Arabidopsis thaliana: one gene and its partner. The protein of the gene in region 1 interacts with the protein of each later gene in a pairwise test. Each region holds a gene or a part of one and is shown on either strand. Other genes may lie near its edges.

Region 1 (5,310 bases):
ACTTCATGGAGGAAGACGACGTGGGGGTGACGAACGAGACGCATCACTGATATTTCTCGTTTGATTTGATCGATTAATCCGACTTTCGCAACTTTCTGTTTGTCGATCACCTTGATCGCTACGCTTTCTCCTGTTTTTATGTTGCGTGCGTGGTACACTTTTGCGAATGTGCCTTGACCTAGAAGACGACCTAATTCATATTTTCGCATCAAAACTATGCCGTTTTTATCCATTTATTGACGCTTTTGAGGGAACAAAGGAACTTGATGAAAAAGCAGAGGATGAACTATTGATTAACTTCGTCTTGGAATGTGTTTCCCATGGCTTAGAAGAGATGGAGCTCAAATTTTGAAAATATCAATTATATTTTTTCTTCTTTTTTTTTGGGGTCTAAACCTTGCATATATCAAAATAGTAATGCTAAAAACAAATACAAGAGGAAAAGATCTTAGATTTGTGTGGTCGTGGTGATGCTTCGAGTGGGCTCTTCTAAATATAGTGGAGGCTAGTTGTTGTTAAATATTAGAATATCCCAGATTTTTGTGTGTGTATATAATAGATTTTGTAATTACAAATATATGTGGACTTCAATGCCGGTCCTGTCTGTAAATCTTAAGAATCATGATTCAAAATAAGAGTTGTCGCATAAAATGTCATGATACGAAAATAAGTGGAGGATAAATCTTGGAGTTGCAAATACAGATATGGATATGATTGTTAACATCGGCCAATTTTTACTCGGCCCGACCCACTACAAACCCAGGGAGGCAATCACTGAGGAATAAATAAATATGAAACATAGAAAAGTTGATCATGTTCATGGGGGCATCTAGAATTGTGTCATCTAGGTAGATTGCAATATATTTTTACAGTTATAAGAAGTGTTTTTGTAGGTTTTAGAGTGTTATTTTCATTTGAATGATTAGATTTGATCTCTTGCTATCTGTAGAAAAACTAGTATTCTTGGCGATTAAGATATTTTAAGTTATCAAATCGCATTGAAGAGACTCAAATCAATTTATAGAATGAATCATGTAAACATTATTCCACCATGAAGTGGTTACTTAGGTTTAATGTTATTTTAAAGTTAAAGAGCTTACTAATCGCGATCCAAACTTTAACCCTATAGTACATTTCACCACTATGAATACTTGAAATGTTGTGGAATCTTATCTCAAGTATAGAGCTTGGTTAGGTTTAATGAGTTAAGTTTGATATAAATTAAGTTAATATAGATACAGTTGAATTTTCGAAACTAGAACTCTTATTTTTACCAAATCTGCCAAGTCCATAAAAAAAAAGGATGCGTTCAATGAAAAAAAAAGGATGCTTCCAACAATTTATTTAGATACTCCACAATTTTCTTTATGAATATTCCCTACCACACAAAATAATAATGGAAAAATCTAAGAATATAAAAATCCAATGCAATCTTGGATAAAAATCTCCTAGCTGACTTGTCGAGACGAGATCATGTTGCTGCCACGTAAACACACAAATCTCAATTTCTCTCATTATTTGTCGTCTCCGTGGGGCGTGGGCCACTATTCACAGTTGTACATGCATCGAATATTACTGTATTTCGCAAAATGCCACGACGTGAATAAACTATAAAAAATAGAATAATTCAAATATATCTTCGATAAGTGATAAAATTTAAAACATCAAAATGTAACTTATAAATGATTTCTTATCCATTAACCAAAAAAAAGGTTATTTTTTATCCTTACAAACTACAATCTTATAACGAAACAATAATTATTATATAAGATTATATATAAAACTATATTTCTGCATTTAATAAAAAACAAAAGATCCATCTTATACAAAGCAAAATCTTAATTATTTATAATATAAACTAACATAACGCATTGCACCTTGCTACCATAAGTCTTCAGAAAATAAAAGTAACACACATACGGGTTATATATCCCTAGAATATATGCCAAATATATAACTTTATAATATCAAGATTGAAAACCTTGTTATTATGCAATTTTAAATATGACACGTACGTACCTATAGTATCATATCTAATATAATAACGACTACTTTCCTTCCTCTCCTCCGGCATTACCTTCGGTGTCAACCATACAGTCACGACGGCGACGATCTCTCATAGTTCCCCACTCATGCATCGAAAGATGAAGCTTTTTCCCAGCGAGCAAGAAATCCGCTCCTTGTACCGGAGATAGAATCCCGAGGATCTTCGCTAAAGTATCAACCCTTAGATTATCGGCCTCGACCAATAAACGAGCCATAGCTTCTTCTTGCTTGTCGAGAGCTTGATCCACCACTACGTTAGGCTCTCCGACATTCTCCATCTCGTAAGCCACAGTGGCGATGGGAATATCCGCTGCGTCTTCTTGTAGGCTTGAGACTTTCTTGGTCATCTTCTCTTCTTCGTCTATAATTTTTACATGCAACACATTGATTTTAGCTAGCTGCTCCGCACTTAAGTCGCTAAGTGATGCACCGCCGCCACCACCTGTCAAACCAAACCATATTGAACCAACCGAACCGAAACCATTAGAATTTTGGTATAGATCTATGGTTCGGAATCATTTTTTATGATTAATTTTATTTAAAAATAATAATATATTTGTATAATATATAGAACTGAACAAATTCCAAATTCAAACCGAACCCAACTTAATATAAAACCTAAGAATCTATTATTTTTGTCATAAGCAAAATGAACAGAATAAATAAATTTTAGAAATCGGAAGGAAGACAATAAAATTTTTTGCCGCACCGTACTGACTACCGAACCAAAAAATTAAATTTAGTCTATTTTTTTATTCCTCAAAACCGAAATAACCGAAAACGTCCAAACCCTTACCTGAAGATTCGTAGCCGTCGATGTTGCGGAGAAACTGAGTCACACGGATCTCAGTTTGTGACCCACACAAAGCATAAACGAGCCTAAAGAAAGAAGATGGTCGACAACCACCCATCCAAATTAGAGCGTTCTCTAAAGGACTGTTCCACGTGGGTGCATAATAGTTCGAGCTACATCGGTGAGCAAGATCAGCTCTTTTTGCGGCGTAATTTTTGAAATCACCGATGATTTTTCCCGTTAACTTACGAAGCTTGTTATCATTATCTTCATCACCGTGAGATCGTCGTTGAGCTAAGAGTTGTTTGAGCTCAGGGATGCGTTGAGATTGCAAACTCATCCACTCGAGATAAGAATCTTGAGCTTGTTCGATGTTCTTTGATGAAGATCCCATTTTTTTTTTTTTTTCTGATATAATGAGGAGTATTTTGATTATTGGTTTGATCTCTTTTGGTTTGCGTGTTTGTGTTTTGTGTGTTTTTGTTTTCATTTCATTGGGTTTATATATAGTTAAAAGTTAAATGGACCAGAATTATATTTTATTCTCTGATTAATGATTATCTCTAAAAATAATACTATACATTATAATACTTATGGATAAAAATGTCGAATAAACTGAATTATGATTAAACAATTAAATTTTCTTCTAAATATATATTTAGTAGCGTTATATTAACCGAACCAAATTATTATCGTTTAAATTTAATATAGGGAAACAATGACAAATGTCAAAAATAAAGAGGAAAAATAGAAACATTGACAACTCAAAAGTTGAAAATGAACTTGGACAGAAAATGTTTACTTGGACACATATTAAAACGAGTATTAGTATTGAAAGTTGGAAGATTAGTACGTGCTTTCCGAGGAAATAAAAGAAATAACGCATGCATGCATTACGTGGAGGACTAATAGAGAGTGCGAGTTGTTGTTCCAAAATAGTTTAATTTGCCATTATTTTTGTGTAAATTTGGTTGTATTTTCTTCTTCTTCATTAATTATCTGAAAAAGAAAAGTAAAAACCCTTCCTGTAAGTTACGGAAGCCGACACACTCACAAACTAATATATCAATTCACATTGACCCGATATAGAAAAAACAAGATTTTACATGCATATATTATAGTATTAATTAGGATAAAACAAGAAGTGTTGTTCTTCTAAGTTCTAAATCGATCTAAGACTTACACGAGTAGATATGATACGACAACGTTCCTGGAATCAGAAATTCAGAATGGTGTTAAATGTTCCATGTGGCAATTTTACCTCTTTAAAGAGGAAAGAAATTGGAGATTAGATCATACAATTATCAACTTTTCATTCCTAGGATTCATCAATTAAAATATCAGTCTTTTAAATCACTGTGGTTAACAACTAATTCATTGGTATCACTTATTTGATGATTTTTTAATATTCACGATATGTTTTTTTTGTTACTGATATAAATGATTTTTTTGGATGTCCTGAGACAGCGGATTGTACAGTATGTTATATTTATATATATTTTCGTATAAATAATTATTATTCTTTGGGGATCAGAGACTTAAGAAGAGGTGTAGAATATCTTGGAAACGAGTTATCTCCAACTTTTGGACGTTTTTTGGTAAGTACTAAATTATTATAACGAGCTTCGTTAATTTACTTTTGTCTTTTACTACGGAGAAAATGATTAGAAAACTGGTTATATAGTAGTGAAAATTATTCACATGCATCAAATAGGAAGCGACAGAGAAAAAAAGACATATATATGGTGGATTTCAATATCAAAATAATATACAAAAGTTTGTTTAAAGGATGCAATAAAGAAAATTATTCAGTGTAGTGTAACTTGTGTACAAGGAAACCTTTGAGAGCCGTGAAAAAAAGAAGATGGAAATCTTCTACAAAAAATAATGCACCTCAAAATCACGAGGTCGAATCTTGAATATAATACCTGTTTTGGTTTTCCGAGGGAATTATGGACAAGCGGTCCACAATATCTTGATTAAGAACCAAATATTAACATCGTTATTATTGGTTCTATTTATAGCAGTGAATCAAACACGTATGAGGATAGTTCGACACGTACTACGCTAGTCTCGTCGTGTAACGTGCTTAATGAAAAAGTATGTCACGGTTGTCGTTAGTCGTTACCTTTAGGCTCAGGTTATGATGACATATGACCTTATCTTTTATTTATTTTTTATGATAACACAAGATCACTTAATGGGAATACTTTTTTTCAGAAAAAACATTCTGCTTAAAGCTGCATATATTGTAATCAAAGAGTTTTTCGAATAAATTTTACATTGATTCATAAAAGAAAAAACATTAACGGGTAATTTGCATTATCAATTGTCAATGCAAAAGTAACAACAACTAGTGTTTAAATCTTGCGGTTAGGTTTTTAGACCTTTGGCCACCTATCCGGTCATATATCTAATGGGTTTAATTCAATCTTATCTACCTCCTCTTACTTGGGTTAAAAATGTAGACA
Region 2 (4,847 bases), on another chromosome or scaffold:
CGTGACCAGCGAGAGAAACTCATGGAAACTGTTTCCTCTCTCTTCCAAGGAAAACTCAGCATCCTCGTAAGTGTGTGTGTGTATATATATAAGCTTCTCCTCCTCCTCGTCTATGAGCTTGGATCGACAATGACCAAAATCATGTTGAATTTTGTTTGCTTCGTTTGTATAGGTACCCAATGTGGGAATAGGTGTACTAAAGCCGACGACTGAGTGTACAGCAGAAGAGTTCTCATTTATAATAGCTACAAATCTGGAGTCAACTTTCCATTTCTCGCAACTCGCGCATCCTTTATTGAAAGCCTCTGGTTCAGGGAACATTGTGCTCATGTCTTCCGTGGCTGGAGTTGTAAATTTGGGTAATACATCAATCTATGGAGCAACCAAAGGTATAATTATACGCATACTCGAACAATTTATGATTCTTTGCTTCTATCGCGACTTAAATAAATGTATACGCATTCTAGGAGCCATGAATCAGCTGGCGAGAAATTTAGCATGCGAGTGGGCGAGTGATAATATAAGGGCTAATTCTGTTTGTCCATGGTTCATTACAACTCCGTCAACTAAAGATGTAAGACAATGAATAAGAAAATACATTTCATTTATAGTATGAAAAAATGGTTTAACTATTTCTTACGAAGTTTATGTGAAAATGTTTCAGTTCCTCGGTGATAAAGATGTAAAAGAAAAGGTGGAGAGTGTGACACCATTGAGACGTGTTGGAGAGGCAAATGAAGTATCATCGCTTGTTGCATTTCTATGTCTTCCCGCAGCTTCTTATATAACAGGTCAAACCATTTGCGTTGATGGAGGTTTCACTATTAACGGCTTCTCTTTGCCTTAAACACGTATATATGCATATATTCATGCTTAAATTTATGTGATTAATTAGTGGTTTCACTGCATATTAATTCATACAAGTTTTATATGTAACTTATGTTGAGGGAGCTCACTCCGTTCATGCCTTCTAATGTTTGGACGAAGAACTCAATCTTTTATCTTATCGGATAAGAAGTTACTTGTGTTCACATTTGATGTTTGTTCGTTTCCAATCGTATTGTGACTTTTGATATATAAAATAATTATTGTATATATTCTACTTATGATATATGATTATATAGTCATGTAATGATGACCGTACGATTTTCAACTCTAGTATCCCTATCTTTAGGGGGTTATGGCTAAAAGCCTAAAAAGATTACTTTTGCTAAAGGAGTAAAGATTATGTTCATAATTTTTTTTAATTTATATAAATTTATTATTATTATTCTCACGCATAACACAAAACAAAGAAAGAATTATCTTCATAATTATATATATATATATATATATATTTGATATAAATTTATTATTATTATTATTCTCACGCATAGCACAAAACAAGTTTCTTCTATATATCAACTAAACTAAAAGACATGTCGTTGGAAACATACTCATATATCATATTCAAGGACTCATAATAATAGACATGTAAACAAAATATTCCTTAAATTTTCTAAATTCAAAAACAAACTATATATGTAACTTGTTATTTAATCTTCTTGGGTATATAAAACTTTATCGCATTTCTTGGATATTTGGACGATGAGAATTCAAATTGCTTTGTCGATGATAAATTTGTTTAATAATTGTTCAGACTGCCATCACAACATAGCTGATTACTGTCATATAAGTCATACATATTATATTTCCGATGATTCTCTGGACTCTCAAGACAATAATAATAAAAATTCAGATATAAGTTTATTAAGGTTTTCTTTGTTAACGTGTTTACTGTCTAGGGACAAACATAAATTATTAGCACTAAACTTGTTAGGTTTTGAAAGTAAACACTGATTTATACCTAAACTTAGGTTATTCATGTAATCAAATGTGAAAACTAACGTAATGAAATTCCTCTAGTTATTTAAATACAGAAAACAAAACCTACCTTGCGGGGAAAAGCATCGTGGCGCGAAAGGAAACTTCCTATGATCCGTCATCCGTGCCGTCTCAATTTGATTGGACCACGAATCTCGCACTCGATACTGACGCCTTACGTGGATTACTTTTTTTATAGAAAGAATTTAAAATTGTTTCTGAAGAGGCAGGTTTTGTGTATAAAATAGAGAATGCAAGTAACGTGTAATGACATTATTTCTCAAATTGAATGGTTTTCGAGCATTTTTATTAACCAGTGAAGCAACCAAAACAGGAATCACCAGTTCTTGAAAGAGTTCATCAAAAAAGAAAACATTTCTTGAAACATCTAAGAAAGAGTTTTGTTCTTCTTGATCAGAAATACAGAGCAAAATCCATTTGAAGACATCAAAGTTTAAGGTTTTTTTCCCCGGATATGGCCGAGATATGTTACGAAGTAGTGACCGACGCATGTCCGTCGTCGGTTTATGAATCAACGCCGGCACATTCACGGCGGAGGCCGAGATTCCAAACGGTGATGCATGAAGATTGGGAGAAGAATTGTAAGCGTAGTAAACAGGAGGCTTTAGCTACGAGATACTCTTCAATTCCTCGAAGCTCTCGGGAGGATTTCTCTGACCAAAATGTCGACGTATCCAGTCCAAGATACGGTGTTTCTTCGGTGTGCGGTAGAAGAAGAGAGATGGAAGATGCGGTGGCAATTCATCCTTCATTTTCTTCTCCGAAGAATTCGGAATTTCCTCAACACTACTTTGGTGTGTATGACGGCCATGGTTGTTCCCACGTACGACTCCGTTACCATGCATTCTTACGTTTTCCGAAATTCTATGTTTTCAGTTTTAGCTGATACGAAATCTTTTTTTTTTCCTTAGGTTGCAGCAAGGTGTAGAGAGAGGCTTCACAAGCTGGTGCAAGAAGAACTAAGTTCAGATATGGAAGATGAAGAAGAATGGAAAACGACGATGGAGCGTAGCTTCACACGCATGGATAAGGAAGTTGTATCGTGGGGTGATTCCGTCGTGACTGCAAATTGCAAGTGTGATCTACAAACACCGGCTTGTGATTCCGTCGGATCAACCGCTGTTGTCTCAGTCATTACGCCAGATAAGATCGTTGTCGCCAATTGTGGCGATTCCAGAGCAGTTCTCTGCCGCAATGGGAAACCAGTCCCTTTATCAACCGATCACAAGGTCAGTTCCGTTCAAAACATGTTCAGTTTCATTTAAGCAATGATTGGATTTGTGGATTAACTTGGAGATTGTGTTCTTTGTAATGAAACACAGCCTGATCGGCCAGACGAATTGGATCGAATCGAAGGAGCTGGTGGACGAGTCATATATTGGGACTGTCCAAGAGTTCTCGGAGTCTTAGCAATGTCACGAGCAATAGGAGACAACTATTTGAAACCTTACGTGAGTTGCGAGCCGGAGGTAACCATAACGGACAGGAGAGACGATGACTGCCTCATACTAGCTAGTGATGGTTTATGGGATGTTGTGTCAAACGAGACCGCCTGCTCTGTAGCGCGTATGTGTCTCCGTGGTGGTGGGAGAAGACAAGATAATGAGGATCCGGCGATTTCGGACAAGGCTTGTACGGAAGCGTCAGTATTGCTAACAAAGCTGGCGTTGGCAAGGAACAGTAGTGACAACGTCAGTGTCGTTGTGATTGATCTCAGAAGATAAGGACACGTAAGTGGACACTAGTCGAAGAGGAAGACAATTTTGCTTTAACTTTCTATATCAGTTTTGCTTTTTGGTTATTCTTGGAATACGTTGGTTGTATACAAAATTAACCCGATTTTATGGAAACCCCGAAAAAGGGTTAATTAATAGAAATGATAAGAATTATTCTTGTCAACCCTAATCCTGTTTCGTGTATGCTTATAATCTTAAATCAAATCAAATTAAGAAGGTCGACATGTAAAAGCATTTTGCTTTAAAAAAGATTGTCAGACTATACTATACCTTTTACTTTTAGGCATTAAGATACTTTAAGAGGTACTTAGTCTCTGCCGCTAGGCAAAGACATGAGAGTAGATCATAGGTTCTAAATGCAATTATGAGTATTAGCAGTATCTAAAGAATAAGAAAAACAGTAAGCAGTAGTAACAACAAGTCCAATAGAAACGAGGTCACGTATAAATTTCAACATCGAATCGACTTCAGACTAGCAGCTTTGATTGTACAACCCAAATTGTAGCAAATAATGATGTTCTTATGACTAAAGTTGAGGAAATGGTAGAGACAAAACAAAAGAAAGAAGGTTTTTTGAGAACAAGACCTCTCTCGGGAATCGAATTTCACGTTTGTTTGTTGTCAGGTTTCTTTTAGGGCCTTAAGTTTTCTGTAACCTTTATCGGTGCCAAAGATCCTGAAGTAACATAGATAAACATATTTACATGTTTATTATAGTTATGACTTCTGTTAAAGTAAGAAACAGAGTTCAATAATTTACCAGTCCATGTAAACAAACGTTGATGAGTAGTTGCCAGACTTTGTGTAGAGTAATCGATGATGGTAGTCATGGAAGTCAGCACTGTAAGCAAATGATTCCCACATTAATATTAAAGATCTGTTAGGTTTAAGGTGTTGCTCTTTCAAGGCAATCACAGGTTAGAAGTCTTATCTTACCCGCCGTATAGAGGAAGAAAATTCGAGGGGCTCCATGGGAAATGATAACCACAATGTGCCTCAACTGTCTCAATAACTCTGAGCATCATCCATAACCAAAGGGTGATCAGGTGAGGCCCGGTGAGAGCCGGACCAACAATGGTAGCAAAACCAAGGAACAGAATTTCAGCGGGATGAGCATATTCTGATGTCAAACCAAACGGTGTCGCGTACCTGTATATAAGTAATACCATAAGATTGTTTATTGAGGACCATGAGTGAACTAACATTGTCAAGCACAAAAAAGATGGT

What was found. The genes of interacting proteins can lie anywhere in the genome.
Region 2: the proteins of DOG1 (region 1) and HAI3 interact in binary tests that used the Arabidopsis thaliana proteins (3 or more experiments, as listed by UniProt).

The regions. Positions count from the first base shown.
Region 1 is NC_003076.8:18,588,168-18,593,477, forward strand, and holds DOG1 (delay of germination 1), read right to left. Parts: upstream 3,340-5,310; 5' UTR 3,330-3,339; coding exon 2,843-3,329; intron 2,489-2,842; coding exon 2,078-2,488; coding exon of another isoform or gene 2,049-2,077; exon of another isoform or gene 1,576-2,048; coding exon 1,502-1,575; 3' UTR 1,271-1,501; downstream 1-1,270. Other genes in the region: CIPK20 (CBL-interacting protein kinase 20), read right to left, coding at 1-233.
Region 2 is NC_003071.7:12,606,517-12,611,363, forward strand, and holds HAI3 (highly ABA-induced PP2C protein 3), read left to right. Parts: upstream 1-2,158; 5' UTR 2,159-2,338; coding exon 2,339-2,707; intron 2,708-2,795; coding exon 2,796-3,113; intron 3,114-3,206; coding exon 3,207-3,608; 3' UTR 3,609-3,834; downstream 3,835-4,847. Other genes in the region: AT2G29370 (NAD(P)-binding Rossmann-fold superfamily protein), read left to right, coding at 1-66, 173-389, 468-574, 665-847; SMO2-2 (sterol 4-alpha-methyl-oxidase 2-2), read right to left, coding at 4,242-4,296, 4,381-4,497, 4,557-4,769.